Linked DNA regions of Oreochromis niloticus. The protein of the gene in region 1 purifies or fractionates together with the protein of each later gene. This does not show direct contact. Links are inferred from orthologs where the notes say so. Each region holds a gene or a part of one and is shown on either strand. Other genes may lie near its edges.

What was found.
Region 2: the proteins of tctn2 (region 1) and tectonic-3 purify together in Homo sapiens (affinity purification with mass spectrometry; 3 studies listed by BioGRID and IntAct, with this or other methods). This does not show direct contact. The link is inferred for Oreochromis niloticus from reciprocal best matches to the Homo sapiens genes TCTN2 and TCTN3.
Region 3: the proteins of tctn2 (region 1) and tmem231 purify together in Homo sapiens (affinity purification with mass spectrometry; 3 studies listed by BioGRID and IntAct, counting the BioPlex papers as one, with this or other methods). This does not show direct contact. The link is inferred for Oreochromis niloticus from reciprocal best matches to the Homo sapiens genes TCTN2 and TMEM231.

Annotation. Positions count from the first base shown.
Region 1 is NC_031977.2:18,496,202-18,506,958, reverse strand, and holds the start of tctn2 (tectonic-2), read right to left. Parts: upstream 4,594-10,757; 5' UTR 4,468-4,593; coding exon 4,380-4,467; intron 4,247-4,379; coding exon 4,133-4,246; intron 3,910-4,132; coding exon 3,839-3,909; intron 2,816-3,838; coding exon 2,614-2,815; intron 2,525-2,613; coding exon 2,424-2,524; intron 2,330-2,423; coding exon 2,130-2,329; intron 2,040-2,129; coding exon 1,919-2,039; intron 1,812-1,918; coding exon 1,658-1,811; intron 1,554-1,657; coding exon 1,470-1,553; intron 1,382-1,469; coding exon 1,259-1,381; intron 1,149-1,258; coding exon 1,074-1,148; intron 993-1,073; coding exon 894-992; intron 360-893; coding exon 242-359; intron 161-241; coding exon 57-160; intron 1-56. Other genes in the region: si:ch211-225b11.4 (thyroid adenoma-associated protein homolog), read left to right, coding at 5,259-5,386, 5,479-5,659, 5,745-5,831, 5,915-5,942, 6,045-6,193, 6,273-6,395, 6,488-6,608, 6,835-6,980 and 8 more.
Region 2 is NC_031973.2:16,459,611-16,469,669, forward strand, and holds the start of tectonic-3, read left to right. Parts: upstream 1-5,640; 5' UTR 5,641-5,882; coding exon 5,883-6,198; intron 6,199-6,367; coding exon 6,368-6,482; intron 6,483-6,559; coding exon 6,560-6,657; intron 6,658-6,734; coding exon 6,735-6,847; intron 6,848-6,925; coding exon 6,926-7,037; intron 7,038-8,268; coding exon 8,269-8,381; intron 8,382-8,475; coding exon 8,476-8,514; intron 8,515-8,694; coding exon 8,695-8,769; intron 8,770-8,853; coding exon 8,854-8,973; intron 8,974-9,048; coding exon 9,049-9,147; intron 9,148-9,231; coding exon 9,232-9,335; intron 9,336-9,482; coding exon 9,483-9,630; intron 9,631-10,059.
Region 3 is NC_031972.2:4,915,689-4,926,539, reverse strand, and holds the start of tmem231 (transmembrane protein 231), read right to left. Parts: upstream 4,162-10,851; 5' UTR 3,872-4,161; coding exon 3,733-3,871; intron 2,806-3,732; coding exon 2,639-2,805; intron 86-2,638; coding exon 1-85. Other genes in the region: gabarapl2 (gamma-aminobutyric acid receptor-associated protein-like 2), read left to right, coding at 9,857-9,890. UniProt on the Homo sapiens protein: Transmembrane component of the tectonic-like complex, a complex localized at the transition zone of primary cilia and acting as a barrier that prevents diffusion of transmembrane proteins between the cilia and plasma membranes.

The DNA.
Region 1 (10,757 bases):
ATTAAAAAGTAGACAATTTAAGAAAAAAGAAAATTCTTTCTTTGCACCGTACTTACAGCTTATGTTTATCCAATCTGCCATAGTTAGAAAATCTGGGTTTCCACTCTTTGCCACATATGTGGCTGCAATCAAGTCTGCCTGTAGGTTAGTAACAGTCTCTCTAAAGAGGAAAGAAATTATATTAAATAACACATATATCTGCATATATACATTAGAGATGTAATCATGCAAAGCCACTGACCTCAGAAGACTACACTGAGTTAGATTTTGCCGGCTGACAGGCAGCAGACATCCTGATGTTGAATTCTCTCCAAACAGAACCGGTTTCATCCCAGCAGTGGAACAGAGTCCATCACTCACTGGAGGCCAGATCAGAAAATGGAGATGACTAGTTATCTTCAATGTAAGTCAACTTGCTTGGACTGAAATGTACAGTCAAGTAAAAAATAAAGTTTTCACAGGACTCTGTGAAATCCTGTGGAAAACTAAGTGCCCCCTTAATAGTTCCATAGTAATGAAGAGGGTAAGTAGCACCCAGGGGCTCCTAATCAAATACTTTTTATTAACTGCAATGCACCATTCAAAGTCCAGACCGCACCCTGATTGAAATGCTGTGACAGGACCTAAAGAGAGCGGTGCATAAACGAAGCCCAGAAGGCTGGACTAAAATTCTTTCACAATGATGTGAAAGACTGACCAAGTCATAAAGAAAATGATCACTTCAAGTTTTTGCTACTAAAAATGGCTCTGCATGCTACCGAATCATGAGATACATGCATTTTCACATAAATGCACAGAGTCCCGTGAAAACTTTATTTTTTATATGGCAGTGTGTAGTCCAATATTAGGTTACATGCAGTCATCTACTAATCAGCAATCTTTATGGGTTTTACCTGGTTTCCAAACATTAACTGATGTCCTTTTTATTAAGCTTGTGTTGTTGTCCAAAGCTTCCACGATTCCAGCAATAACAGGCCTTCCCACCTGGTAACCTGTCATTAAAAATGTGTACACATGTTATTCCCAGGTACTGTAAATACTTTATTTTATACAAAACCTCATCTTGGTCCTACCTGGGTTGCCCGAGTTTGGCTCACCAGAAAATTCTCCATTTAGAAATGTGGCAGAATACTTTGTGGTTAATGTTGCTGTTAAGACAAGAGAATACCAAAAATGTGTTAAAACTACGGGAAAATAAAACAATATTAGTCAGAACCATTAGTCGAGCTAAACAACAGCCAAGCGTTATAGCACTTACCACGACTATTTAAAATGATAGTCCCAATAGTCCGTGTCAGCGTGATGTCTGTGATGCCATTTTCTTTCCAGTAGAACTTGTAGTCCAGCGCTAACGTCAAATTTTCACAAACCAACATCTCATCTTTTGAAAAAAATGCCAAAACATGTCAACATTAAGGTCAATTAAACATTTGAGTTATGTTAGTAATGCAGTAATGTAATGTGGATACCTGTGGGTGCAACTGCATCTATTATGGAAATAAATGGACTCGTATCAGCAGCCACTTCATCCATTACATCCACCATGACGTCACCTGAAATACAAGAATAAATAAAAACCATTTTTAAACAGCTTCACATTCAGATAGCTTCAAAACACTTCACAGCTTTTATATAATTTGTTATATTTAAAAACTACCTCCTTTCCCATTCTTCACTTTAATGCTCAGATTTCCTGATAGTGTCTGTAGAGGATATCCAGTTGGACAGGAGAGTAGCAGAGTTGTACACTCATAGTTGAAATTTTTTAGAAATGCAACAGGAGCATTGTTTACACACAGTCCAAGGACCTTCTGTTGAACAGAACAGTTGTTACATTAAGTGTTAGCTGTCACTGCTTTGGAATACTTACATGTAAACAATCCTATAAAAACAGCATTAAATACACGCTAACACTAACCTGAGGAACAGTGAAGTATTGGCCATTTAATGTGAAAATTGGATTTCCTTGAATATAAACATCAACTGGGACTGGAGCTGACAAAACTGGACTTTGGAAGGATGGACCAGGCTTAGGTGCACTAGACAGGTGAAAAGACAAATGACGATAACATGACACATGAAATTCCTTGGTAAGTTGCAAGACTGAAATATATTTAAACCTTTCTCACATTGTGCCTCCTTTGTAAAAGTGACCAAGGTAAGGGTTGTTTTCAGGGGGAGAGTTGACACATAAAAATGGAAACCAATCTGGGGAATTTTCTGTGGACTGCACAGAACACTGGTAATCTGAAGCAGGAGAGACCTGCCCACCAAAGGGCCCTGGCAGACACTGGGTTGAGAACAGCTTCAAATCTTCATTGGAACAATCCTGTTGAGGGGGAAATCACAAATTAATCATTTGATGATCACTACAGAAGAAAATATTTGTCTGAAATCCACTCCCGTCTTTTAAAAAATATTACCTTGTCACAACAGCAGAGTATGTCACACGCTCCAGATGTCAAGTCACAAGGACAAGGGCCCAGGGGCTGGTACACTTGGTTTGGAATAACTGTTTTATTATCTGAAATGGAGACGTCATTTTTTGTTGTTTGAAAAAAATCTTTTAAATGAAAGCACATTACAGTGAGAAACAAGTTTCATTTGAATTACCAGATCCAGGATTAGCAGGAACCAACAGGGCATGTATCTTGGCCTGGATCAGCAGCGATGCCTGGGGTGTACCGTCCACACAGGCAGACACCTGAAGGGCTTCCAGGATGCACAATGCTCTTTGACAGCAGTCTGTGTTTGCATCATTGTTGCCACATAAATGCAGACTTTGATTCAGTCTTAGATGAACTTGAACTGCAGTCTGGGACACCAAATGAGACAAATAAGACCATGAAGAAAATGTATGTCCAAGGATCAACTTGATCAAATTAAATGTGTGTTTTAATTAACTCAGGTGCTTGTGTCTTACTTCATCATTGTTGCATCTGTTCACTGTGCCTGCCAGCCTTGCTTGCTAGTGCAAGAGTCTTTAGCTGGCTGCTAACTGTCCACACCAGATAAAGGTTGGAGTTGAGTAGTCTAAAAAATTACCTTCAACCTCTTTTTCCTAACCACTTTTCCTTAATCACTATGGAAAGCTTCGTGTGGTCAAGGAAAAGAGTGAAGATGAGCGTATAAGGACTCAGGAAAATAGACTTTATCAGTGCGACAGTGGATGCCTAAAACACTGTTATCTAGAATTTGGACTAGAGTGTAACCCCAATGTATCTTTACCTTATTTTTACAGGCAGGTCATATAAACAAGAACCACCAGTGAAAATGTCACTTCATTGCAAATGCAATATCGCTTCACTGGTTTGAATTTTAAAGAAAGAAAACAAAAACGTATAGTCTATATAATACATTTCTTCTCTTCTTATTTTTCTGATCAAGAGTGATTTGGTGAAAATCCTTTTATTCTCCTCATTTATAGATTTCTAGGTCTTCCATTCATCACTTATCAGAGCTGAACATAATTAAAAATTAATAAATAAAGATCCTAATTCAACAGGAGGCATTACTGATGTAAATTGAACTACAGCAAACTTAAAAGCATTTTGAAACAGTAAATATAACTTATAATCATCATTTATATTCTTTTTAAGTGCGTTTTGTTGATCGTTTTCATGAATGGTGGGATGGTGCATCCCTAGGAATTATTGAATGAAATTTTATAGGCTGGCTTGAGAGAGCCACCACATCATCCTCTCCTCACTGTACATCTACATTTTTAACTCAGATCAATTTATTAATTAATATCTGAAATAAATGTCATGTTTCTAACAACTCTGGTGTGTATTTTTTTCCATTTTATGACACAAAAAGGACAGGACAAGTCTCTTACCTTTCCCACCTGCTCCCTAGTGAGGACCCAATTTGTTTCTTCTGCTACACATGATGGAGAACCAATGTTTCCTGTTAAAAGGAAACCATCATCAACAACCAAATACGTCCAAAATTAACACTACTACTACTAAATTCTTCGCATTTTTACGAGTTTCTAAGCTGGAAATTTTTAAATGCAGTTAACTAATTAACCTAAAGACACTTATTTTTTCGTGTCTAAACTAGTACAACAATATCACCGCCAGACCATGTGGGGGGGGACCAAAGAGGATATGTGTCCTGGAGCTTTTACCTGTTGTGTTGGATGGAGAAACTGTCCTCAGGCTAAGAGAGATACCCGAGGTGTTTCCCAGCAAAACTGCAGTGACCACTGGTCCCGTTGTAATCACAAAGGAAGGCTGGAAAACTTTCAAAACAGTTACATACGTCACATATTGGCTACAAAAATTCACTAAAAAATTAGCAACTGCTCGTTTCTCAGGTAGGTTTTGCGAAGGTACCGTCAGCTATTTTAAAGCAAATTAAATATAAGGTCTTACCGACAATGTTTTGAGTGTAAGCCAAGCAAGCGAAGAGTAAAACACGTGTAAAGAACGAAGAATATAATAATACGACCACATTAGCCATTTGGTTCGCCTCAGGAAGTCGACATATTTGTAAACTGTTCGTGATGTCCTAGCAACGTCCTTAACCAATCACAGCCCACAACGAGACCGGAGAGAGTCTGGCTTGACGGAAACAGTTAAATAAAGAAGAGCGACATCATCTGGTCAGGAGTGGTTTATACTTACAGGCTCAGAACTTCACTGGCCTCAGGTGAAGAAAAGCATCACAGAATATTATATTAAATTATATTGATTGATTGGTTTTATTTTTCTCCAATACATCCCACGATTCTGTGGATACAAAGTACCAGAATAATGAGAACTAAAAAGTCCGTCAGTAACATCACAAAATCAACTAGAAACACTTAAAATATTAACAATATATAGATCAACATTTAGTATATATAGTATATACACAGTATATATATATATATACAGTATATATAATATTTAGCAAAAGGGACAGTTATTAAAGATGTGTCACACTAGTGTGTGTCACAAAACAAAACTACACATAAAATCCAATAAAAACAAATTTGTCACTATTTTTTCTGTTTGTTTGTTTTTTGTTGTTGTTTTGTTGTTGTTTAATTGTTTATTTGTTTTTATTTTTGCAAACCAGTACATTTTAAATTTGTAAATCTATGGATAACAACAATAACACTTCGGCCTCTAGGTGGCAGCATGTGGCTGCAAGTCTGCGATGACAGCTGCTCTAAAAAAAAAGTAGAAGAAGAGTCTTGTCACGTGACTTGTAAACCAACGTGCTCGTTGAGAGTCTGAAAACAGTACACATCTGTACTGTGGAATCGGATGATGATGCTGGGGTTTGAAGAGCTGCTGAGAAGTCTGCAGGACTGTGTGATCTCCGAGAATGAAGCAGCTGAGAACGTCAGCCCGACTCTGAGCCAGTTTCTTCAGAAACTGTCTGAATCCTCCAGGTAGCAGCTGCACCTCAGCCACACAGCTGTTTTCTAAAACACTGCATGCTGTTCTGAAAAGTTTGAATGAATAAGTGCGCTTGCGTGAACAGGAGCGGCGTGAAGAGATGTAAGGAGCGCTGCTTGGAGGAAGCTGTCCAGCTGCTGAGACAACTTTCTGAAGCACAGCTGTCTGGTTTAGAAAACGACCATCTCACACTTCTCGTCAGGCTGCTCATATCCACGCAGCTGCAGATGGTCGGCATCTCCACAGCTTGTCGCAAAGTGGACCAGGTTGGCTTTACTTTGTGTCAGATGCGGATGTTCGCTGCTTAAAGACAGAAAGGCACATTTACACGTTTATTTTATTCCTTCACAGATGTTGCAACATTTAGCAAAGGTGGACCACCAGCTTGTTTTTAGAGAGACCCGTGAGTGTTTCCACTCCGTAGTCCACAGTGACCAGGTACAGAGTCCTCACTTTGCTTTGCTTTGTCGCACATTTCCATAAAAGGACTGCAGCTAACTTTGACCTTGTCTTCATTTCAGATTTTGTGTTTTGAGGATTTGCAAAGAGGTCAGAACAAATTTAAACTTACATTTATTTTTAGTAAGTTGCCACCTTTAACTTACATGTTTAACTGTTGTTCTTGTGTGTATATATACACACTGTCTGCAGCTTGTATGTTCCTGGAAGACAGCACTGTTGGCCGTGAGGTGTGGAGAGAGTCGTACATGTCCATGTTGAACAAAGTGTCTGAGTTACTCCCTGTCGCACTGCAGCAAGAATCCCTGAGAGATGGACCGCTGTGCTACATTACAGTCAAGGTACGCGAGGAGCAGTGTGGATCATCATCAACTTACTGCGTGATCTCTGTCACTGACCGGAGAACTGTAATCTCTGCAGGTGTGTTTGCAGATATTCCAGCTGTTGTCCAGTGAAGTTGCTCCTCTGGTGTGGGATGAGGAACAGAGAGCCCCAGCAGTGGAAAAGATCCTGCAGACCCTTATGGCCATAATACTTGGACAGGTTTCTAAAGAATTCATTAATCACTCACTCACTCACTTACGGGATAAATGTCAGCTGTTACAGCTTAATGCTGACTGTGTCCTGTTGTGCAGTGCTGCAACAGAGACACTCGTCTTCTTGCCGGCACCGCTGTGGCCATGCTGATCAACACAGCATCAGAGAACGGAGCTGGAGGAGCTGCAGCCTGGAGTCTGCTACAGGTCTCTCACTTGGGTATGGAAGCAGTGACATGAATGTAGAAGCAAATCAAGCACTGGAATTTGAACAGATATTTACCCAAGCGAACAATCTACCAGTATTTGTATTGTAATATATGTTGCACTATTTCTAAAAATTGATCAGAAACTATGCACACAATGTGTTATCACAGATTCTACAGCACACTGTAAGTGTGTGGACACTCGTTGCTGAATAGCTCCTATTTCCTGTTATTTCTCAGAGCCCTGGCTGCTGGCTGTCGGTGTTCTCCGGGTGCAGTGCGACCCTGCAGAGAAGGACGGAGTGGGCAGGCTGGCTGTGTGCAGAGGTCTCCTGACCTGCTGTCGACCAAACATTTTGCTCAGTTCACATGAGGACGCCCCAGAAGTAAATCTACCTGAAGTCCACCTCAGAGCATGCATTGTGGTTGTGCTTGCTTTCATTACCAACCTTTTCTCTTTAGAATTGCCTGCTGCTGCACGGTTTGTTTCCTCTGGTGTTTACTTTGTGCGAGGAGAAGCTGGATTGTCACTACTTTGCCTTCGAAGGTGAGTAGCTGTCTAAGCTGTTTGTTCATGCTTTGCAACACTTCTGTCACCCACATAAACCTGAGGTGTTGTTGCAGTGTTAAACTTATGGCTGAAGAAGGTGAAAGAATATCTGGCTGATCTGTGGAAGGTGACACATGCTCGCCTTCTTCCTGACAACTGCACTCTGCTGCAGCAGCTCATTCACCTCATCTGGACCAATGCAGAAAGCCCGGTGAGAACAGAACTACTATTATTAAGTGAAGTGGGACGTTTTTTAATATTGGAACTCTTCGATAGACAAAATTGGCAATATGGAAACAATTACAGAGGAGAGGAGTAGGATAGGCAGAGGAAAGGGGAGCAGAAAAAATATCCTATCATATCCTACTCCTCTCCTCTGTAATTCTTTAGTAACCATGTTTGTAGATTAGTCAACGTACTTGTATATTTTTATGTCTGATAAACCACAGACGTAAAATAGACTGTAATTGGAATCAAATTTGTTTATATTCCATCTTAGTTGATGTCATATTAGCTGCTCAGTTAATAAAGTCATATTACAGCCAGGGTTGTCGTACTGTGCGTTTGCAGGTGGACGGGGTGTCAGAAACTGCTCGCAGTGCATTTTTTCAGCTGCTGGATCTCTATGAGATGGACTGTAAACAGTTCTGTGACACAAAGAGGGCTCTTTATCTTACTCTGCTCGAGCGAATAATGAAGCTACCTTGGGAAGCCAAAGCTAAATATCATCGCCTGTGCGCCTTGCTGCCGTATCTGGGTACTGACAAGGTGAGAATTTAAGGGTAGTTACAGTGTTAATTAATGTTGTGAGCTAGTCATTATTGGTCATGTCTTTGTTTACTTTTTCTGCCTTCCTGTCTTCAGCTGCTGGATCAGTGTCCTAAGATATCCAGTCATCTCCTGAAGTGCTTGTCTACCAATCACCTGGCACCGTGTGGGTCAGAGCTTTATAAAAGTCTGATCCAGCAGCAGAGGCAAGAGCTGTGTGATGGCTCTTCTTCACACGCGGAGCTGGATCTGGCGAGTCACTGGGCACGGCGTTGGCAATCTGTCCTTCATGAGGCGCTGACATCTGAAGTGCCTCTTCTACAGAACAACAGTTCAACGCAGTTATTACCCTGCACCTTCCAGGTGTTCCCCTCTGCTGTGGACCACATGCTGGCCTCCCTGGACCCATACACCCCAGGTCACCTCCATGCCTGGGCCTGCATCTTGAGCTCTTATCGAGCTGTAACTGGAGACTCCCCCTGGGCCCTTCAGGGTAGTTCCACCCTAGAGACCCTTCAGCTAGCTCTAGGATCTGCAGATGACAAAGTACGACTTGCTGCTCTCAGTCTGCTCTGCTGCTGCCCAAAGACCAAAGACACACCAACTCCAGAGGAGATGGCGATCATGAGAACGTTCATACCTCAGAATCTAAACTGCGACTCCTCGCCATTTCGGCAACATTTTCAGGCTGGAGTGAAGAAGTTTCTGATTCGGATCAGAGATGGCTGTTTGGCATATGTCAGAGGACAGAAGGGCAAAAAGAAAGGAGAATCCTCTCACTCGGAAAGGACACAGGATCTCTTGGATCAGGGAATAGGTGAGAAAATCATTTATCACACTGTATATGTGGTCTTTTTTGAACGAGACCTTTCTAGTTCCCCATTTTTGTCCTTAGACTATACTAGAGTAGCTTTGCATGCTTCACAATTCAAAATAATCCCCATTTAACCTACACCAGGGCTCTCAGGTGGTCCTCTGTATGAAACAAACTCTCCTCCCTTTAAGGCGATCGTTCCTTTAAGCCAGCTTCTTCTGATTGATAGGCAGTCCCAAACAGGCTTGAACAGTGGGTAGGTGAGTGACTTCTTCTTTTCATATGTCATAAAGGATTTGTGGAATGGCTGAGTCAGCTTCCATACACCTATCTGGCACCAGGACACAGTTATCAGAGAAAGAAGACGGCATTGCTGTTGGTCTCAGCAGTGCTGGAGACCTGCACAGACACCTGGAGCCCAGACAGGAAGAAGGGACAACCTCCGGGTACGTTTGGAAAATGTGATGCTGATATTCTACATTTAACAGATTTTTTTCCCTCCTGTTTTTTATTGTTTTTTGGCTTTTAATGATATCTGTGGAACATGTTTGCAGCAAATATGAGTTCTCTCATTAGCTGTGCCAGACAGAGAGGACAGTGGGATTTCTTCTGCAGGACGAAACAGCTAGTACTTCTCAGCTGTTTAGAAGATTCAACAAATGAGGTAGAGATGCCGTTTCTTACCTTGAAATTTTCATTAGTTTAAATCAATCGAAGCTGAATATAAGGAATTTCTTCCCCCCCAGATTCGGGAGCTCGCTGCTGGGTTATTGTTGAGATTTTTTCCACCCAGTTTTCTAGATGATCTCACTGAAGTGCTGCATACGAGAACTAAACAGCTTCTACGCAGTCCCCGGGTGCAGGAGGCCCAAATGGGAGCACTGATGATGAAGATCCTCCTTCAGAAGTAAGAACTGCTCTCTAAAGGCCGTCGTTCTTATTAAATAATTTTTTTTTGCATGTGGATTCAAAGCACAAGCTATTAATTAATTAAGAGTTACAGTCTATTAGACAGCGGTGTGTTTTGGTCCCCTGCAATATGTTAATACTGCATTCCCAATGCTACAGTATTGTTCGACCTTTTTTTGCTTTTGGAGAATTGAAATGATAAGATTCTTTAAATGGTGCTGTAGGTACATAAACTCCTGATTGTGTAGACGCAGTTGGCAGTCAAAGGAACAATTTGCATTGCCTGCTGATAATACAAAGGAACTTTAGAAAATGCTTCACAGGTAGTGTGATTTCTTTGGCAGGGGAAGTTACTGAACACCCAAACTCTGTGAACAAACATAAATCAAGGTTAACTCAGATTAGTAATATAGTTGCTAAAATAAAAAGACATTTCCACTAGAAGAACGTGTGATTTTTTTAATTTACAGACGTACCAGAAGCTTTGTTCTCACCTCACGCTATTTGGTGTGATGCTTCAAAGTAAGACCTTAATAAGAGCCAGCTCACTCAAAACAGAGCTGCCACTGCTCATTGAAGAACAGTGCAGAAAGGATGCATGCCAGGCTGTCATGGATGAGAGTGGAGGACAGTCTGGCGTGCAGTTTAGTCTTTTATATAAGAAACATTTGTGGCTTGAAAATACTTCTTTGTATTCACAGGTAAGATGAACTAAGGAGCGACAGTATTATGAAACCAGACATGCAATGTTTTACATAAAAACAGAGCTTTGTTTTTAGCATTAAAACGTGTAATGTACATCAAACTGGAACAAACTGCTTAAAAATCCCTTTCATCACTGATGACATTTGTTCTTTGTATATTTTGGACTCGGATTGGAGTATTTAGATTCACTGTGGTGTGATGAATTGTGCCGTTTTTTTTCTGGGGACACCAGTAAGAAAAGTAATTACCATTTTTTTTTTGTCACTGTAGATCAAAACACCAGTGTGAGGACTGCAGGCTGAACAGCAGGGAAAGTAACTCAAAGGCCTTCGGCATGGTTAAAGTCCTGGTGAAGGAGCTCGAGGAGCACTATCTAACAGCCAAGGCAGACATGATGCTTGCTGCCAGAGAAAAGCC
Region 2 (10,059 bases), on another chromosome or scaffold:
AAAGAAGAAAAATGTTCTCGTCTAGACACGCTGCTGGAGATTTATATGGACTTACATTCATGTTATCTATTCAGCCAGATGAAAGTGTTTAGACTTTACATTCCAGGATTTCCAGAGTTAATATCCTGCCAGCGAAAGAAACAATATTTTCACTGTAAATAAGTTGAACTGTCTCGATGGGGTTCAAGAATGTTTTTATAATAACTATCTGAGAAAGTTGAGAAATTTGTAACTTTGAAACACCCTGAACTGCACAGCTTCCTAACAATTTCTGTCCATCCTATTTATATTAGAAGTTCTAGTGTCTGTCTATACATGGAGGAAACATCAGATAAGTTACAGTTCCTGTATACCGTGCATCAGTACTATTGCACAAACTTACAGTACTTTGCAAAAGTCTTGAGTTAGTCTTCATTTTCACTTATATTTTTAGGAAAATTGAAAATGGGTGCAGCAGTTAGTTATTTAAAAACTGTGCAAAAATTCATTACAACGAAATACATAAGACAAAAACAGAGTCTGAAAGCTAATATTGGGTGTGACCGCCTTTATTTCTCAACAAAGCCTGAACTCTCTCAGGCAGCTTTTTGTGATTTCTTATAGTCTTCAGGAATAGTTCTCCAGGCTTCTTGAAGAACATTCAAAGCTCTTCTTTGGATGTTGGCTGACTTCTGTTCTGTCAAGATAATCCCACACTGCCTCAATAATGTCGAGGTCTGGGTTCTGGAGGAATAAGGAATCATTTTGTTTTATCCCTGTCAAACTGTCATCATTGGCATTTTTCATAAATTCAGCAAAGAAATGTGTTTTTTAATGGAAAATTGATGGAACACTTATATCTTCATTAATAGTACCCTTCCTGACTTGAATACAACTAGTTTTTCTGCTTTACCACAACCAGTTATGCTTGAGGTGGATTTGAATCCTCCTCTGGACACAGTACAACGATCCGTGCCTGCCTCCAGTGTGCACATAAATTTGTCTTTGGGCAGAAACATAGTGATAAGAGCAGAAATACCCAATAGCAGTGTAGTAGTATTAGTAGTATAAAATTCATTTATAATTATTCATTATTTAAAGTTTTGATGCGAGGATTCATTGAAAAAACAGGAAATAACCCTGTTTACGATTAAGAAATGTTATGTGCTCATTCTTGTTTTCACAGTGTGCAATTTCATATCATATAATTTCACATTACTATCAAAATGCTCATTTTCACATCAGATTTTCAGTTTCCTGATCTTTCAATCTGCACAATATAACAAAATTATATTACTTAACAAACTGTTATAAGTGGTGGCCAGTAATTTTCATCAGTAGTACCAATCATGACAGAAGGATATCGTTTCCATGTCTTAAAGAAGAAGCCAATGCTGAAGTGCATTAACCCTGGATTCTGTGTAATGACCAGCAGGGGGCGTCTGCTCTGGTTCAAACAGGGGTGTCAAACATGTTGTTGCAGCGCAGCAGGCGTGTTTGAGGTGTGGACCCAAAAGCAGACATGGGAGAAAAAAACTTAATCTTAACAGAATGCGAGCTGTTTATTGAGGCTGATATTCAAAGCAAAAAGAAGACAAGGTGAGTTGGGGAAAAACAAAACTAAAACTGGGCTAAACTAAAACTAAATATGAAAACTATGACATAGAACGTGTCATGAAAAATAAAAGCGAGACTTGCAGTGACATCACATGAGATAAGCAGACAACCCAACTAAACAGAAGGAAAATGAGAACTTAAATGCACAGAAGGATAATGAGGAAAGTGGCAACACCTGGGGAAACACAGCTGACACAAATTACATGATGCCACATGGGAAGCAAAACTAAACACACTGAACATGGAAACAAGACTTTCAAAATAAAACAGGAAATATGGACAGATATGAACTGGGACACGCAAACTTGAAACAAGAGACAGAGAGGGGGGGCAAGAGAGAAAGAGCGACACAGAGGAGAGAGACACATGGGGAACCTACACAGACAAGGAGATAACACATGACAAACAGAAAAAGACACATAAACAAGGAGACATGGACGATAACATGAACTAGACTAAACCTAAACTAAGACAAACTAATAATTACCTCAGAACTTGACATTATCTCATAAGTAATCAAAAAATACCAAATAACTCAAAATGCTGGATCACAGACCCAGCCCCCTGACAATGTTGTTGTTATAGCTCTGTTTCTTTTTTAGTTGGGAGGGTGAATGTCCCCCTTTCATTTATAACTGTCTGATCAGTTAAATTCTAAGTCCTTTTACCAGGTAAGGTAAGCAGGTTTTGTCCTTTGACTGCTCAGTAACCCACATTCTGCATAAATTATTAACAGCAGCAAGTCTTAATAAGCTGACTCACATCTGACAGATGCAGCTCACTAAATTTGGTTGTGTTTCTGGCTTCTGGAGACAGTGGATGCTCTAGTCATGAAAAATAAAGAGAACTTGTTTCTAGTTTTAAGAATTTCTTCAGTCAATCATACTAAATATTTTTACTTAACATGAAAAACAGAGCCAAGCACAAACAGGTTTTATACGAAGGCTTTAGAGCTGGCATGGACTCTGTACTGAGACCGTGGAGCATGCTTTTAGCACCTTATCTGAAACATTTATTCCTGTTCAGCCTGGAAAGCATGTTGGGCTGTGTTTACTGATATTTCTATTCCATTTCTAAGGGATATCCTTTTATGATTTTCAGCTTCAGAAAATTATTTCATAAAAAATATCCCTACATATACACATAAAGCCTGTAACATACATGCTTTAAGCATTCCAACATGCAGTTCTGCAGATAAAGGACAAAATGTTTTTCACCGTCTTAGATCCAGATGTAGGCTGAGTAAGTAAAACAACAGCTGTGTTAAATCTGTGCAACTCCCCACATTCACATCTGGGGAATCGCTCGTGTTTGCTTCTCTTGGCTGCCTGCTGCGCAGCTCCATCAGAGCAGGTATGTATTTCTGGAAAGGAAACAGCAGTCAAATGAGATTTCATTAATAAATCAAAAGCCTGAAACCATTAAAGATTAAAACAGAGGGTAATAGTGAATAAACTTGAGATTGGGGCTGTGCTTTTTAGAGGCTCTGCATTTCAGATCTGCACAGTAGCTGAAGTGTGCTGTGGTGCAGGTGAGCACGCCACTGACCTTGTGCTCTGCTAATCCTGCATACGGTCGACCCCACTGACAGGCAATAATAAGTCAAGGCTAAGTGATTGCTCATTTTCTGCTGAGATTTGCATGGTAGTTTTCAGTTGACCTGCCTAAAATCGAACTAAAAGAAGTTATTTTAATTTTATATCTTTCCATAAAAGCTTCATTCCATTGTATTCCACGTGGATTTCCAAAATTGCTGGCAGATGGAGGCCATTTTGACGGAAAAAGGACTCCCTGCATAAATGAAAAGTAGCAAAATACATGGTGGTTCACAAGGAGATGCATTATTAACAAAAAGTTCTTTGTGTTCTTGATGTCTCAGAGAAAAATTACAGCACAGCAAGAGATGACTGAACAAAGAAGGAGTCAGAGCAGAGTCGGGTTTTCAAAATATTACTATTCAATAAGTAGTAGAAGACAGCAGTACAGATGTGTCATTTTGTTCTACTCTATTTTGCAGTGAGAAAAGTCCAACGTGGAGTTAAACGTTTACATTTTATGCACTTTGGCATAGTTTTTAATGATCTGAGCTTATCTGAGCGAGGCTAATGCGAGCTGATTGTTTTTTATCTTGTGCACACAAATATTTCCTTGAACAACTTATTATCTTGTGTGTGGTAATTATTTATCATGTGCACACAAGATAATGTATTACACATGACATCACCAGGGTTGGTCTCATGGTAATTGTGGGCTTTTAATGATTTCTTTGAACTGATTGTACAGCATGCATCTTAAATGATTTTAAAAAACTAGAATTGAGTGCACATGTTTGAATTTATTTGGGATTTTCTTTAATCCAAGGGTCAGAATTGTACATACAGGCTCAAATATATACATACACATCCACTAATATTTGGTTAATGTCCTTTATCAAGTTACACCTTAACCAGACACTGTTTGTAGCTATCAGCTGGCATCTGGTATAATTCAGACTGAATGTCTGACCGTTCTTCTTGGCAGAATTAATAGTTTATTGAAATCAGTGGCCCTGCTGGCAAGTTTGTGCAATGCACCAGTATCACTGGCAGCAAAACAGCCCAAGAGCATGATGCTACTACCACATAAATACAAAAATGGTCACTGCTGTAGACTAATCCATTAAGGGATAGTTTATTGGTAGCTCTGTGTTTATGGGTCTTATATATAAGAAGAAGTGGCCTGCTGACAAAACAGCTATCTTTGTGTAATCATGCAGTGAAAAAAGTGCATAAGCATGCAAATGTCTTTAAGTTGATGATGAGGGACCACTGAGTTTTCTCATATAAAACACAGGAAGATGTGAACTCTGAAGCAGTTCTTGCTTATATCCATCCAGTGCAGATTTTACACTGCAAGAGATCCACACATTAACCTAACATAAAGAGGGGGGGAAAAAACTTATGTGTGACCCATGAGGTTGTCCTGTTGGTTCTCTTCTGTTCGGGTTGTGCCATTTTATTTCTTTGACTGAAATTGGTGGGTGGAGCTGACCTGGCTCACATTTCACTACACCTGTGCAGGCTCTGCTTGGCTCAGAGGGACAAGAGCAGCTATCAGATCCTCTAACACTGTCTTTAACAGTGGCTGGCAGAGCTTTTATGATCTGCTTTTGTTCCATATGCACACACTCATACATTTACCATCCACTCAGACATACTGACAGTCACATAGTTTCTTTATTTATATAATTTCTTTATTTAGTTGAAATACATTGTGAAGACTATGTGTGGTCTCCCCTCATATTTTTTGCAGGATTAAAATTAAAATAATCTCCAGTTGCAATAATAAAGTGGTACAGAAATTAATCCCCCAAAATTGATTGTGTTCATCTGGATGTAGCGTTTTTAGCGGGAGAAACATTTAGTCAGTCAACAAGGCTGGCGTTCTTAGACTGTGACATTTCCATCAGTAATGGGGGACATTTGAAAGTTGATATGTACAGTAAACCTACGCATACGGATCAGTTTTTAAGGTTTGACTCTCATCATCCACTGGAGCACAAACTGGGTGTCATCAGGATGCTACAACACAGAGCGAACACAGATGCCCAAAGACACAGCGGCCAGGGAAGCAAAAGAACATCATATCAAGAAGGCCCTGAGTAAATGTACTTATCCCATGTGGTTATCTTAGTTTCAGTATTAGTTTTAGTTTCTTTGATGGGAGGTATTTGAGAGAGGTGAGATTATAGAACTCCAAAACAGCTATTATAATATAAAAACTTTACTCAGATAAACATACGCCCCAATGTGTCTTCATGCTGCATGTGTCAATCATTACACCGTTACACGTGTATTCTGTGTTGGTTAAATTATTAAAAACAGTTATTAACAAATATTCTAAGTCTAGTTTTTAATAATATCTCAATCAAAAAATATTCTTCTTTCAGATTTAGTTATAGTTTTCAGTTTGATTTTAGTTAACTATGTTAACCTTGCTTGTTTACTGATTGTTGTGAATTCATTAACCTGAAATGACCGCGTTTTCTCTTCTACGTGCTTTACGGTAATTCTCTCGTAGAAACGGAAGTCTCAATGAGAACTTCCTTAGTTACAAGACGCTTGCACCCCGATTATGTGTCGATTTTTAGCTTGTACCCTTCTTGCTACGTTTTCTAACGTGTTTAACTCATAAAGACAAATTTTATTTTATCTTTAATTTAATTTTACTGTGACGCGAGACACCGGAGAAACTCTTCGGGTAAAGTGCGCATATTCCCGCTCCTTTTTCATGGCTCTTTAGAGGAAATGTCTTCCATCCAGTGGTGTTTTTTACCCCTTATATTGACGGTCATATGTGGACGTCTGGCACACGGAGCTACAGACCCAGTGGGGACTTCCTCCATCAGTGCCACCCCCGCTAATGGGGAGCCGTTCAGCTCTGCCACCCCTGCTCCGAGCGGTACGGAGGCCGTGAACTCCACTGGTGTCAACACCACGGAGGTCCCTACCCTTGCCACCGTGAGCTCCACGGTAAACACGACACTGTCCGCGACCGAAGCGCCCACTGCGGCCACCGAGAGTCCAACTGCAACCACCGTCCAGCCCACGTTGTCTCCACAGGGTAAATTACACCTCCAGCTACATCGTTTGTAGGGCTGATTAAGTCTTTTTGTTGCTTCGATCAGGCTTCCCGCTAGTTACTCAAGCTAGACTTTGTGGATCTGACGGTGACACCACACCTAACATAAGTACTCCCAAGCATGTCCAACCTTTTTCCTGATGTTTTCCAGCGTGTCTCTGTGATTTAACTCCTGGTTTCTGTGACATCGGCTGCTGCTGTGACACAGCTGACTGTGGGCTCGCTAACTTGAGCGCTGTCTTCACTGGATGTCCGCAGAGAGCCGTGTGAGTGTTGGTCGTTAGCTCTATAACACGTGTGGTACACAGCTTCAACATTTAAAAGACCATTTTTTACTTTACAGATCAGGTGTTTGCGTTGAGAAATGGCTGATGTTCAGAGCCAATGTGGATTCGTCTCTTATCACAGTGACTGACTCTCTGTTTTGTGTCCAGCCTTCAGGTAAATGGCATCACTTTTTTTTTTTAATCACACGTAAGGTCAACATATATCATTATCGTTTTCCAACCTCCAAACAGATAACACGTCCCAGTTTTTCCCAGCCCAACCTCAGCATCCAGTGTTAGGGGACTCGTACCACTTCTCTCCACAGAAGACTCCAACTGTAGGACCCAGCAGAAGTTTTTACATGGTAAGTTTTACGCAGACTTAAATAATTAAAATAAACAAACTTTAGATATTTGAAATCATCACAACTGCATTTCTGTAGGTTGATGATGTCATCCAGACATATTTCCCCAACTCCTCTGTGCGGGGTCTCCTCCGTCAGCCATCTCCAGGACCGGCAGTGTCAGCTTTTTGCATCGACCGCAACCCTGCAAGTAAGATCACATAAAAAGTTAAATGTTGAACTGTTGAGTGGCAAAGTGCTGTTACACCGTTTTAAGTGCAGCCCTGCCATCTAGAGTTGCTTCTTCATATTTACTTTGGACAGTTTTGGGAGAATCAGTTTATGATATTTTCTACAGACGTCTTAGACACAGTAGCCCAACTCAGACGTGTGGGTTTGTGGCAGTATACATGACACCCTTTTATACTGGGGAATACAGGAGACATTTTTACCCATCATACTGCTGTGAAAAAGTCTCGAGCTGCCCCTCATTTCTTTATATTTTGCGAGGAAAATGGGGGGAAAAGGTGCAGGGATTTATTAAACCATGTGACAACCATATATAACAAATTTTGTACAATATTGAACACTTTTATTCTTCAGCACAGTCTGGACTGTCTTAGGCAAACTTCTTTAAGTAGTATTCAGGAATAGTTCTCCATGCTTCCTGAAGGACATCCAACAGTCCCTGAGTAGAGTAGCCTTTCCAGAAAAGTTAACACTCTGTAAAATGTGAATGAAAACAGAATGCAACAGTCCAGCTAAAGGAAAGTTAGAGAAAAGACTAAAAAAGTTGTGTAATGCTTCAAAAGAAATGCTTCAGCTTCTCACTGCTAATGAGATTAATTGGCAACAGGTCGGTTACAATTAACATCCCAGAGAAGCTGAGAGATGTAATCTCTCTAATATGTCCTTCGTCTGCTCCGGGGTTTCCTCTCAGTAGCACGTGCCCAAAACACCTCACCTAGGAGGAGGCCAGCAAGTATCCTTTAACTGACTCTTCTCTTAGCCCCTCCTGATCAAGGACCAATCTCCTCATTGTGTCCCAGGCTGAGCCCAAACACTGTTCAGAGGAAACGCCACAATATCATCCTTTCTGCTTGTTGCCATAGGTGACAGTAGGAATGTAGACTGATTTCACACTCAGCTCTCTTGTCACGACAACAGTCCGTACAGAGACACCACACCAATCTGTGTGCATGTGGGGGTACTCAGAGGAAAACTTGCACATGTGTTAAGGCTCCATCACTACTGAACAGTTGTTTACAGGTGTTAGAGTGATGTGTGCTGCCATCCAGGTGACGACTTTGTCGGGGAAAGGGCTTGCACACAACCACATTCTGCTCATTTTGTACTGTTGGTACACACATGCAGAATTATTACAACAACACACTGTTTCCTATGCCACATTTTATCCACCTTAATTTCTCCTCTTCTTGTAGAGTTCTTGAGGTCTGTGTCTCTGTCTTGTGCACGGATGGTGACTCCTCAGTCATGCATCACAGATCCAAGCCTCAGCGCCAACTCCTACTTCTCCGACCTGCATCTCATCAAGGTCAGCGAGTCCATTTGCACTAAATCCTTTTAAGTGCATGATTAGCTGTGAGACTCTCACCACAGATCGACTAATATCAGGTATTCTGTGACAGATCCCAAAAGCTGAGATGGCACCAGTGTCAGATTTTCTGGTAAGTCGTACATTACTGTTGTAAATGCGCTTTGATATTCCACTTAAAATCTCTAATACTTTGTCTATAGTACATATAGTACACTGGAAAGGCAAAAATAGGAGTTAATAGTTGTTGTCGTGCTAATATTTCACAGTTATTGATTATTCCTACAGGCTAATGTTTTCCTGACTGTTTTAGATCCCAGTGACCAACCTGTCAGTGTGGCCTTCACCAGCGCTGCGGAACAGCTCCTGTATTAATGCAGTGCAGAAGGTGACGAGTGCACAACTGTGTGGTGAACCACAAGTGTGTGACGAAACATTGAAGTTGACTCTGCTGTTTCTGCCTTTCCTGCAGGTGAAGTTTGTCATATTTTACACCGGCAGAGGGGAACTCACAAGCGCAACGGTTGACGTAACCCTAGCCGATGTGAATCAGAGTCAGCTGTTGCTCCAGACGCACTCTGTAGAGTTCCAGGTAGAGCCAAAAGAATTAAAAAAAACTCAATTTAAACACTTTAATGTGCCAAGTAATGTAGTTTTTCTCTTTCAGCTGACCAAAACAAGTCCCACTCCCGCAATACTGAAGCCTGCAGTCGGACTTAAAGTTGGATCTCCTCTCATCGGTCGCTTTTTAAAGGAAGCGATGCCTGTATCCTAACTACAATTTTAAGATTGTATCTTTTAATTTATCTGCCAAGCTTCTACGAAGTTTGGCTCCTTGACAGTGAGCCAGCTGACCTCACTGGGGGTGTCACAAAGTGGGACCTGTTCCCCTGATACAACCACGCGAGCACCCATCCTCTTCACGCACAACATCATCACCGGCTGCACCTTCAGGTGAGTCTGCATTATTTCTTTTTGCCTCTGTTGTCTGTGGTTCTAGTTATGTTACATTAGGACAAGTGGAGATGTCGCTAAAATAACAAACAACATCCTCCGCTTTTCTTTTCTTTTTTTTAAATTTCTTTCTCTCTGTGCTACAAGCTCTCCAGCCAACGACTGCTCAGAGCTGCGCTCGCAGATTTATGGGATCTTGCAGGGACTCGCTACTCCTGATGAGATCGCCATGAGCTCGGGCTCCCAGCCAGACTGGGCAAGAGTCATCACACAGGAGTGTCCCTTCAGCCTGCAGGTATAACCGAAATGTGACCCCCATACACCGTTACAGCTGTTCTGGTGTCTGCAGCAGCACCTAGTGTCGGTGCTTTGTATCTGCCCCCAGCCAGTCGCAGCAATTCAATTCAATTTTATTTATATAGCACCAAATCACAACAACAGCTGCCTCAGGACACTTTATACTGTAACCCAACAATCATAGAACCCCCCTATGAGCAAGTGCTTAGGTTTCTTCCTGTTAAAAGGGAGTTTTTCCTTCCCACTGTCGCCAAAGTGCTAGCTCATACAAGATCATCTGATTGTTGGGGGTTTCTCTGTGTTATTGTACTGTCTTTACCTTACAATATAAAGTGCCCTGAGGCAGCTGTTGTTGTGGTTTGGTCCTGTATAAATAAAACTGACCGGAGTATCTGTACACAGACACATTTCAGAGACATTTATGTTG
Region 3 (10,851 bases), on another chromosome or scaffold:
CCTGCTCATTGGGCTTCAGAGGAAGCTGCAGCTGAAAGACCAGGAGGTCCAGTTTCCCATCCTGGTTCTGGTCCTCTTCTCTCACCTGCAAAGTGCAGTCACAGAAGAACAAAGCAGACTTTACTGTTATTAAAAGTAAAAAATCATGTCTGTCCACTGTTCACTGTTTAGTATAAACAGTAACAAACATGATGTTTATTATGCAGGAACGGGCACTGTTTTAAATCAGGGCTTGCTGCTTAATAAACCCAGAATTTGGGAGTTTTCCAGCTTTTCGATGACAGTAAACTCAAACTGAGCAGCAAAAGCAATGTGAATATGCTCACTTGGACTACAAGGAAATATAACATAATTGACAACGGATTAATTATTGTATGAAATAAGAAAATCAAGGTAATACCCATGTGAGGCCCGTCAGTAGATTTGTGATGGTATAGTACAGACTTACCTAATGTTTTTGTACATTTATTACAATTCGCTGTGGAGCTGAAAAAACAAAAAAATAAATGCCAAATCTGCAGCTCTTCTATACTGACTGATTTTTTGTGGCGGTGTTGTATCGACATGGGGACACCAAACATTGATATGGCATTAAATAAATTGAATAATTACAATGAACAAGAAGCTGCATCTCATGCACCACCATCCTGAGATAACCGAGCAAACTTTCCATTCAACTGGCTCACCTGAAAAACATTGCTTCACTGGACACACTCGCCTTAACAAAGCTGCCTCCTAATTCAAAGCAAGCTAGCTGCTCAGCCACATAAATGAAATTCAACAGCAACCTTGTGACATTGACAAAAAATACCCACAGTACTAAATAATAACATAAACACCTTAAAACCCATCAAGGTGGCATGCTAAGTTATCATTTAATGGTCACGAGCCTGTTTAGCAAACCGCTTCCATGAACATTTTAACATGGGAGTCTATGGAGACTGCCATACTCTTGGAGACGGCCCCAAAAGGGAATCAGTGGAACTGCATGTTTTTGGCACTTTGGCCTTAACTTCATTTTTCAGCCCCATAAGTTGCTGCTTGGGTAGGGCTGCTCGATTATGGCAAAAATGATAATCACAATTTTCCCTCTGTGAATGGTACTCATGGCCATTGATCAGTGTTCTTTGATCAGTGGGTTTTGGTCAGTGATTGTTGATCAATGGTCATGGGTATTTGCATAATTATGATTAAGGAACTGACCTCACAGCCCATTGTTCCTTCAGTGGGCTGGTTTCAGTCATTATGCAAATGTACTGTTTATAAGGTTTAGGGAAACCTGCAGTCAGCTGAGACTGAAGAAGTCACTTGGATGAGTGACGAAACGTTTCTCCCACAAAACGCTACGTCCAGATGAACAGATTCAACTTTTGGAGATAATCACAATTATTTTCACTGAAATTGAGATCTCGATTATTGGACGATATTTACTTAACAATAACAATGTATTGAATAATGGCTTTAAAGATTGTCAAAAAATAGTATAAAATAGTGTGCAAATACTGATTACAGTGGAAATGTTTGCAATATAAAAAATAAAAGAAAAATGTAAACATCTATGTTTAGTGAACTTCAAAATACTGCATAATATTTGATCCACGTCTGACTCCGCGAACCCATAATGTTTCCACACCACTGAAGTCGTTTTATCTCTCTTTTCAACCAACGGCATTCTTTCTTCAGCAGCCGTTATCCTCTCCTCTCCAAATAACTTCTGCTTAGCTTTCAGAGCTTCCCTCGGGTCCTCTTAATTGTTGTGACGCGTGTTCAAAACGCAGAGAGGTGCGCTCGATTTGCCACACGGAGCAGCGCAAGAGTAAAGCACGAGGGAGGTGCTAATAATCGGCTCAGTCATTTTTAATGATCGTTGAAAGCCCAGATCGTAATCGAGATTAAAATTCGATTAATTGAGCAGCCCTATGCTTGGGTGCTACTAATGAAAAACACTGACGCACTAACTAACTGGTTACATTTCTGCTGTTTCTGCTTTTTTCTTCAGAATAACCTTTTAGGGTATTTTCTGCACACTTATTAAAGTGAAAAGCACAATTCACACATACACAGAATGAGCACGAAAATGAAGCTCATGCCACGGCAAAGTTTCTTACTTCTAAATTATGATTTTAGCATTACCACTAATCACCTGTCTAATCTCATCTAATCCAATCCAGTCACCTGCTAACCAATCAACTGTGAACACAGTGCTTAAGTTCATTACCTAAATATCATGGTCCGCAGGTCTTTCCTCCCTGCAGCTGTCAGACTGTACAATCAAAACTGCTCCCAACAAACATAGAGGTTTACATCAGCGAAGTAACTTGCACTATTTTATCAACCGATTCACACTATAACCAGGGTTTGCCTCTTATCTGTATTTAATTTAATTTAATTTAATTTAATAACTGTACAGTACTCTGTTTTTGGTAACCATTCAACTTGATGTAAATATGTAAAAATTGTGTATGTTTCTGTTCTGTGTCTTGTGTACTGTTTATTTGTATGTGTCTTTCTTGCTGCTGTTACACCCAAATTTCCCCTTGTAGGACAATTAAAGGATTATTCTATATCTTCTATCAATTCTGCTGTAGTTTGTTACCAGAGAACTGATTTGAGTAGGGTGCTATGAACACATTCTTACAGTGACTGCAGGAATCCGGAGGTTGGCTCCTAGCATGTTGTTAAGTTGGGGGAAGGTGCTCCAGGCGACATATTCTCCCTGAGTACTGGTTGCTGCAACAAGCAGAGTCTGGTACTGGAATCTCACAACTGGCTGTTCCTCATAAGTGCTCCTTTTTATCCAAAAACCTAAAATTAAAAACAAGTTTGAAAACAGCGAGCACATATTTGTATCACTTATTATGACTCAAACTGTTCAGTTTTCTACAACTACCTACTTGGTGTAATTACAAACATATGCAAAATAAATCAGACTAACACCCATTTCAAAAAAATAAATAAATTGGTGAACCACTCCGTGGAGGTCTAGAGACTGGAGTTGAGATTATTGTGTGGGGAAATCCCACTAAACTCCAGTAAATCAGCAGTTTCTGAAACACCCAAATCAACCGGTCTGGCTCCAACAACCATGCTGTATTCAAAGTCAGTGAAAATAATAATAAATTACCCTTCTTAAATTATTCTCATTTAGAAAACAGAAGCAGCTTGATGATGTTACTGACGAATTCTGTTTTCAACTCTGTTGTCATTTTACACATGGACACCACCAACCACTTGTTTATCAGTTGTAATAATAAACATGAAAATAATTACTGCCTGTGATGCAATCAAACAACCACGCGCAATGCTTTCTGTGTGTTTTCTTTTTAAAGCAGACATGAATTAAGCGTTTTAATGTTTCACAGTCATACAAGAGCAATAAGAGAAACCAGGAGCCTGTGATTCCTGACGGAGATAAATGAAGTCTGATGAATGAATCTTAATACGTGTATAAAAGCTTCAATCTGGAGTTTTATCAGTTTAATTTAAAACTTCATGGCTTATGCCATGCTTTGATACCTAGCAGACTTGGGAGAATAGAGGAAGTGCCACAGGATTTTGCCTTCCCAGCTAACATTATTTACAACTATGGAGATCCCATTGCGTGGCGCAACCCTGGTGCTATTCCATGAGTGACGTGCAAACAAATATTTTGCTTCAATTAGCGTGGCATGCGTGGCTGCTAAAGGGTGTAGTTTTTAGAGCGCATGTAGAGTTTCTGGACCGTAAATGTACCTTGGCTCCTGTAAGCAACCAGCAGAGGCGGGATGTAGGTGAGGCACAGAACCACAACCAGGAACAGCGTGGCTTTCGTGCACACGCTGGTTTTGTACCGAATCAAAGCCGGGTGAGAGTACACCTCATAGGAAGCCATAAGTGTGCTGGAGGTATAAACAGCTCAATCTTCCAGATAGCAAAGATGCTAACCGACGGAAAAACCCTCGGAGGACCAGCGTGGGCAAACCGACAATAAAATGCTAAGGAAGCATAAATTATCCCTTAGCCATCCAACCGCTTCCGTAATGAAGTGACTCTAGTAGGGCATTGGTCAAAAAACACAGTGAATTAACGTGCTATTTATGTTAGCACCAAGTACCGCGCCATGTTCCTTCCTAGCTTAGCGTCTGGCGGTTGCCATGGCTGCCAGTGTTCGCGTTTGTGCTGCATTCACGCGATAGCAGCACGGTGAGCACACTTAGCAGAGGTCACACAAAACAGAAAAAAAAAACAGAAGCAGAAAAGCTTTGCATGCAGGGATTCCATGTTTTTGTGCTTACTTTGCATTTATTTCTTGTAATTTGAGGATACTTTGGGTCTCTGATTATCTTTTAGTTTTTCTTTCACGTTGTTTTGGGTCTCTTTGCGTCTCGGTCGTTTTGCATCTGGTCAATTTGCATCTGTTTCAGGCCACTTTTGCGTCTGTTTTAAGTTGCGAACTGAAAACAGACGCAAATACATGTCTGCGAACATGTCTGTTGTTATTTATTTATTTTTATTACTTTCTGTTCATTTTGCATCCCTTTAAGACTGTTTTGCATGCCAATCCAGATATTCTTTATTTTTCACTATGCAGTCACATAACGAAATTTTGTGTGGTAGTTCTCATCTTAAAACAAGACATTAGTTGCTACAAGATATGTAAATAATTATAAATATACTCAATAGAAAATTAATCAAAATTAAAAATAATTTTGTGTTTGTTACTATTATTATTATTTATTTTATTTTTATTTATGGATGGTTGGATGGGTTCATTATGCATTAACACGGATGTCAAACTCAAATTTTACATTGTGGCCCACATACAGATAGGTGGGCCAGACAAGTGAAACTCTGCTTATTGTCATTGACCAGAGGTTTAACTGCACATTTATAGCCCAAATAGTTACATGATAACGTTTTTCTAATGTAGTTAGTGAAAAAGTAACACCAGTCTTAATGACTCTGGGCTTAAATTGTAAAAAATTAATGTGTAAAATTACAGAAACAATTTTGCTATCTCACTGTCTAGACCAGGGGTCAGCAACCCTGGGCGCGAAGGGTTGACTGTTGGCACGACCATAGCTGGACTGGCCATCAGGTATATCGGGCATTTGCCCGGGCCGATGATTTTTTTTTTTTTTCTTGTACAATGAAACAATGAAAGGTGGTGGATTGGCCAGATGCTGGCCGATGTATAAAAATAAGTCAGTTGTTTGGTGGTGGCTATGGCGGAGCTTCCACAGAGGCCAGCGGGTGGATGAGGGAAAGGGGAGGCAGGAGGAGGAGAGACCGAGTGTCAGGTGAACTTAACTTCAGGTAAGAAGTTATGACCTGCAGTCTATCTGGGTCAGATATAAAACAAGTTTAGGTGGAGTTTATTTTCGTTGTGCTGACTTTTTACAGTCAGTTACAATAACTCGTACTGCGTACTAGCTAGCATGACGGATTTTCTATACAGCTGGGTGTGTGCTATGATGTTACTGATAGTGAACTTTATTTTATTCATAAGGTTAGTAGAGTTGCCAACTTTCCCCTAAAAAACGGAATCGTCTCGTATTCAGCTGAAAAGGAACACAGTTTGTCCCGGACTTCAGCTAGGATGAAAAAGACACAAAGCCGGAGTGTTTCTGTCTTTACGCTGTCAGCTGCCTCTTCTTCTCTCATTCTCTCCCCTCTCTCTCCTGTTGCTACTTCAATCATGAAACTGATCAATGATCAGCTGATCGGCTTTTCTCTCTTGTTTGTTTATCGCCCACTTTGCGCCAGAAAGAGGAAACCAGCGGATTTCGCGCTAAACAACAGCGGTACGTTTAAGCTTGATCAGCTGTTGTTCGAATTTATTTAATATTAATTTCTAGTATCAGCTGATGTTTGCTGGAGCCACAGCTGTAAAAGCTGCTGGTCATGATATCGGTTTGGATATGTGGTGAGAGGGAAACATGAAGATGAAACCAGGAGATGTCCTTACTGAATCATCAGAGCTGAACAGGTGATGGAGAAACAGGTTTACCTTTTAGGTGACATGAATGAGTTGAAGGGAAGTTATGAACTGTTTCTGAGAGACAAATAACACCAGGATCCTTTTCTAAGTAGCTGACAGCTGGTAACTGTGCAGGGGCGGGTCTAGCAAAGCTTTGGCAGGGGGGCCAGGTAGGGCATTAACAGGGAAAGGGGGGCACAAAGAAATACTTTTCTTTCTTATTCACATTTAAAATGTCTCGCTTTTAATAAATAATTATCTGAATCTTACAACCAAAGTTTTTATCAGATGTATAGAATGTATAGAAATCATACATATACCAACAAGACTGTACATCACTGTCACAAAAGCGTTTGTTTTCATTCAAAGGCTTTATGGCTTTTCCTATAATACCTGGTGGGCCGGTCTCTAGTCAAAATGCCCGGGCCGATTTTTTGTCCCAGTCCAGCCCTGGGCACGACACGCAGTGAATTAATCTGAGAAGGTGCATTAAAAAAATAAATGGCCGGGCCAGTGGCGCACATCACAAATTAGCTCGCATAGACACATTAATTGTGCCGCTTCTTAATGATGGTATCTTAGCTAACAACCCCAACTACCAGATTCAACTTGTAATTGGCTAAAAATAACTTAGCCTACCGGTGAGAGGGACGTTGCTAGCTGGCAGTTTTTTCAAGCGATGTTGAAATTTCCACATTCCGACACTTCAAATGCTTCAGGAGCTGCCCGCTCAGTGCAGCATCAGCACAGCGGAAATACACAGATACATCCGTAGACTCGAGACAGAATTCACAATGCGTTTTTGGGACTTTCAGGTGTATGGACCAATGTTTTTTTTTCTGATCAAACCAGAAAGCTTTAATGAGCAGCTGGATTTGTCTCACATTAACTGGCTGAGTTAATGCCAGGTAATGCGACATCAAAATGCAGCTGATTGAAATAAAAACCTCGACTCTGTGGGGTCAAAGTTTGCAGAAATACAGACACAGCTGGAATCCACAGCTGTGTGTGTTCATGGAGCTTGCATTTTCACCTGCTGGACATCACTACCTGACAAGTTTAACTGTCTTGAGAACATTGCAGAGGCCTTATTGACAGTATTTGGCTCTACATATCTGTGTGAGCAGATTTTCTCTCACATGAAGAGTGTCCTCGGGTAGCCGTCTGAATGCTGGACACTCGGAGACCTGTGTCTCTGAGTGGGAGACCAGAGATCACATTAACATGTGTATCCCTGTATTAACAAACATGCCATATTGGCCCAGTTCATTTTTCTTATCATTGTTGTGAGGAGACCATAAATAGCATTTGCGTTTTCTGTTGTACAGTTCATTTACTCTTATGGAGTTCTTGTTATGGATAAAAAGAGTCTTTTTTTGGTTTCAAAATAGCTGATAGCTGCCAACATCTGCAAACAGATATAATTCTATAAAGTTGTTCTATATAGTGTGTAACTGTCAGTGTTGGGTAAGTTACTTTAAATTAGTAACTTAGTTACATTACTAGTTACTTCTCTAAAAAAGTAACTCAGTTACTTCAAGTTACTCGTTACTTTCAAAGTAACTAGTTACTAGGGAAAGTAACTTTGGTTTTACTCAGAATTCTCTTGTTAATGTGTTGCTTCAGTCTTCTAGCTTGCTTACTTGCCACAAGTGCACTGTGCCACCTACCAATAGAAAGGAAAAAATAATGTGCACATTTCCACCAGAGAAATCCCACGCCTGGACCGTCGTTGACCGCCGCCATGATTCTAGCCTGCTTTTTACATCCAACACAAAAACTGCAGTCGTGGTGCTTTTGATTGTACTCAGAACTTGGAAATTCTGCCTTCTGAATAGGAAGATGTAGGTAACACCAGACTGCAGATGAGCTGCATACAGACCTGGACTGGGACAAAAAAATCGTCCCAGGCATTTTGACTAGAGACCGGCCCACCATTATAGGAAAAATCATAAAGCCTTTGAATGAAAACAAACGCTGTTGTGACAGTGATGTACACTGTTCTGATGGTATATATGTATCAATCTATCAATTGTTTGTTGTAAGACTCAGATAATTATTTTTTTAAAAGCGAGACATTTTAAATGAGAATAATAAAGAAAAGTATTTCCTTGTGCCCCCCTTTCCCTGTTAATGCCCTACCTGGCCCCCTGGCAACACTTTGCTAGACCCGCCCCTCCACAGTTACCAGCTGTCAGCTACGTAGAAAAGGATGCTGGTGTTATTTGTCTCTCAGAAACAGTTCATAACTTCCCTTCAACTCATTCATGTCACCTAAAAGGTAAACCTGTTTCTCCATCACCTGTTCAGCTCTGATGATTCAGTAAGGACATCTCCTGGTTTCATCTTCATGTTTCCCTCTCACCAGATAACCAAACCGATATCATGACCAGCAGCTTTACAGCTGTGGCTCCAGCAAACATCAGCTGATACTAGAAATTAATATTAAATAAATTCTAACAACAGCTGATCAAGCTTAAACGTGCTGCTGTTGTTTAACGCGACATCCGCTGGTTTCCTCTTTCTGGCGCAAAGTGGGCGATAAATAAACAAGAGAGAAAAGCCGATCAGCTGATCATTGATCAGTTTCGTGATTGAAGTAGAAACGGGAGAGAATGAGAGAAGAAGAGGCAGCTGTGCAGCTTCAGCTTTGTGTCTTTTTCATTGTAGCTGAAGTCCGGGACAAACTGTGTTCCTTTTCACCTCAGTACGAAACGCGTAATATTTTCTCTGAATACGAGACGATTCTGTTTTTTACGGGACGGTTGGCAACTCTAATAATTAACCATATGAACAAAATAAAGTTCAACATCAGTAACATAGCACCCACACAGCTGTATAGAAACTCCGTCATGCTAGCTAGCACGCAGTACGAAAATGTCAGCATACCGAAAATAAACTCCACCTAAACTTGGTTTATATCTGACTCCGATAGACTGCAGGTCATAACTTCTTACCTGAAGTTCAGTTCACCTGACACGCGGACCGGCGGCCGCTTCGGGTCTCTCCTCTTGCCTCCCTTTTCCTTCATCCACCTGCTGGCTTCCACCACTTGTTATTGAATCTGTGGAAGCTCCGCGATATCCACCACACGAAGTAACGAGTAACGAGCCTATCTAAATCCCAGTAACGAGTAACGCGTTCCTGGTTTTGGCATAATAACTAGTTACCGTGCTCGTTACCACAATAATAACGTAGTTACTGTAACGCGTTACTTAATAACGCGTTAGTCCCAACACTGGTAACTGTTAATATAGAGCGTTATTAAATTTATTGCTAATGCAAGTCATATGGCACATTGACTTCTGAGGAAATTTTAGATGCACTCCTCAACAGAAAGGTTGCCTACCCCTGGTCTAGACTGTTCTGTAATTATAAAACAGAATGTTTTGGCTGTTAAATTCTTTTTTTGTCTGTGGACTTATTGTAAATCAATAAATTGCTCTAGTAGAGCATCATTTAATTGCTTATTTGTTACTTAATTACTTTGTTATGAATAGCTATGAGGTGGGAAAAGCTGTAAAACGCATGAAAATACAGCTAAAAGTCCGAAATTTGTCATTTTTCACATTTTCCAAAGCCCCCTAATATGCCTGATTACACTCTTTGCCCGGCCCCGGACCTTTTGTTTGACACCCCTGCATTAGAAGCTTTCCTGCCGTTCGTAGCTGGACCGGGAGCACTTGAAGGCAGCACCACCACCACCACCAGCACCTCCCCTGTGTCAGACAGTGACGTCACCTCCCTGATAGACGGACAGCTGAAAGCTCCTGGCTCAGCGGGGTTGTTGACGTTTTGTTTTGACCGCTTTTGTCTGGATTTTTGGACATTATCCGCAGATTCAGAAGCCCGCCTTTCGACCCTGCCGTCACGCCTCAGTGCGGGGATCCAGCAAAGATGAAATGGATGTTTAAAGAGGACCATTCCCTCGGTAAAGGGGTTTGGATTGTTATGAAACGAGAGATCTTGTCATGTCACGCACCCTCCGTTCTGTGTCTTTCTCTCCGCATCCATTGTTGCCATCTCATCCCATATAGGTGTAGAAATGTATTGCTTGCCTCAGCATATAAATCCATGATGGCTGATGCTGCATGGCTAGCAACTAATGCTAACATTATTCTTGCAAGTGTGATGACCGCTGTCAAAATCGGGCTCACCTTTCAACACCCCTGATGCATCAAATCAGTCCTACCCTGAAATGTGTTTTCCCGTTGCATGCATGTTACTTCTTAACCAAAATGAATTTAAAATCCCCACAATTTAATGTTGCTTTGCCTTTATGTAATCCCTCTTTGAAACCCTGTGGTACTAACATGATTAAGGGCTGTCAGGGATTGTTGTGGCAAATTCGGCTGTATGCAGTAGGGCTACAACTTTTTCTGCTGGGTAACCCCTTCCAGGGTAATTTAACTAGGCCTCATAACTTAAATGGGTACTGAAGAGGGCTTCCTCAGTGATTCAGAGCTGGTAACACCTAACACAAACAGTGTAAGTGTTATTATGTTTATTAATAATGTGCCAGAATTTGGAACTGAGTTTGGTGTAAAGTTCTCTCCAAATTTAGATAGCTGAAACGGCTTTGCTCCTCAGCCTCTGTCTTCATACTTTCTTCAGATATCCTCGAGGTTCCTTTTTAAAGAAACACTTTCAAAAGTAGGCCTCTTAACTGGGCTAATGAAAGTGTGCACCTAAATGAAGCCACCACATCTTCTCACCCATCACCTCATCCTCTCTGACCTCTGTTCATTTTTTTCCCTGCTGCATGCAGTCTATGCTGCAATAGATGCTCTTTCCTCCTCCTGATATAATAATCACTTAATAAAAGCTGCTGATGTGGCTTACTACTGATCTGTGACAGTAATGCCTTTAAGTGTCCACTTTAACACACATGA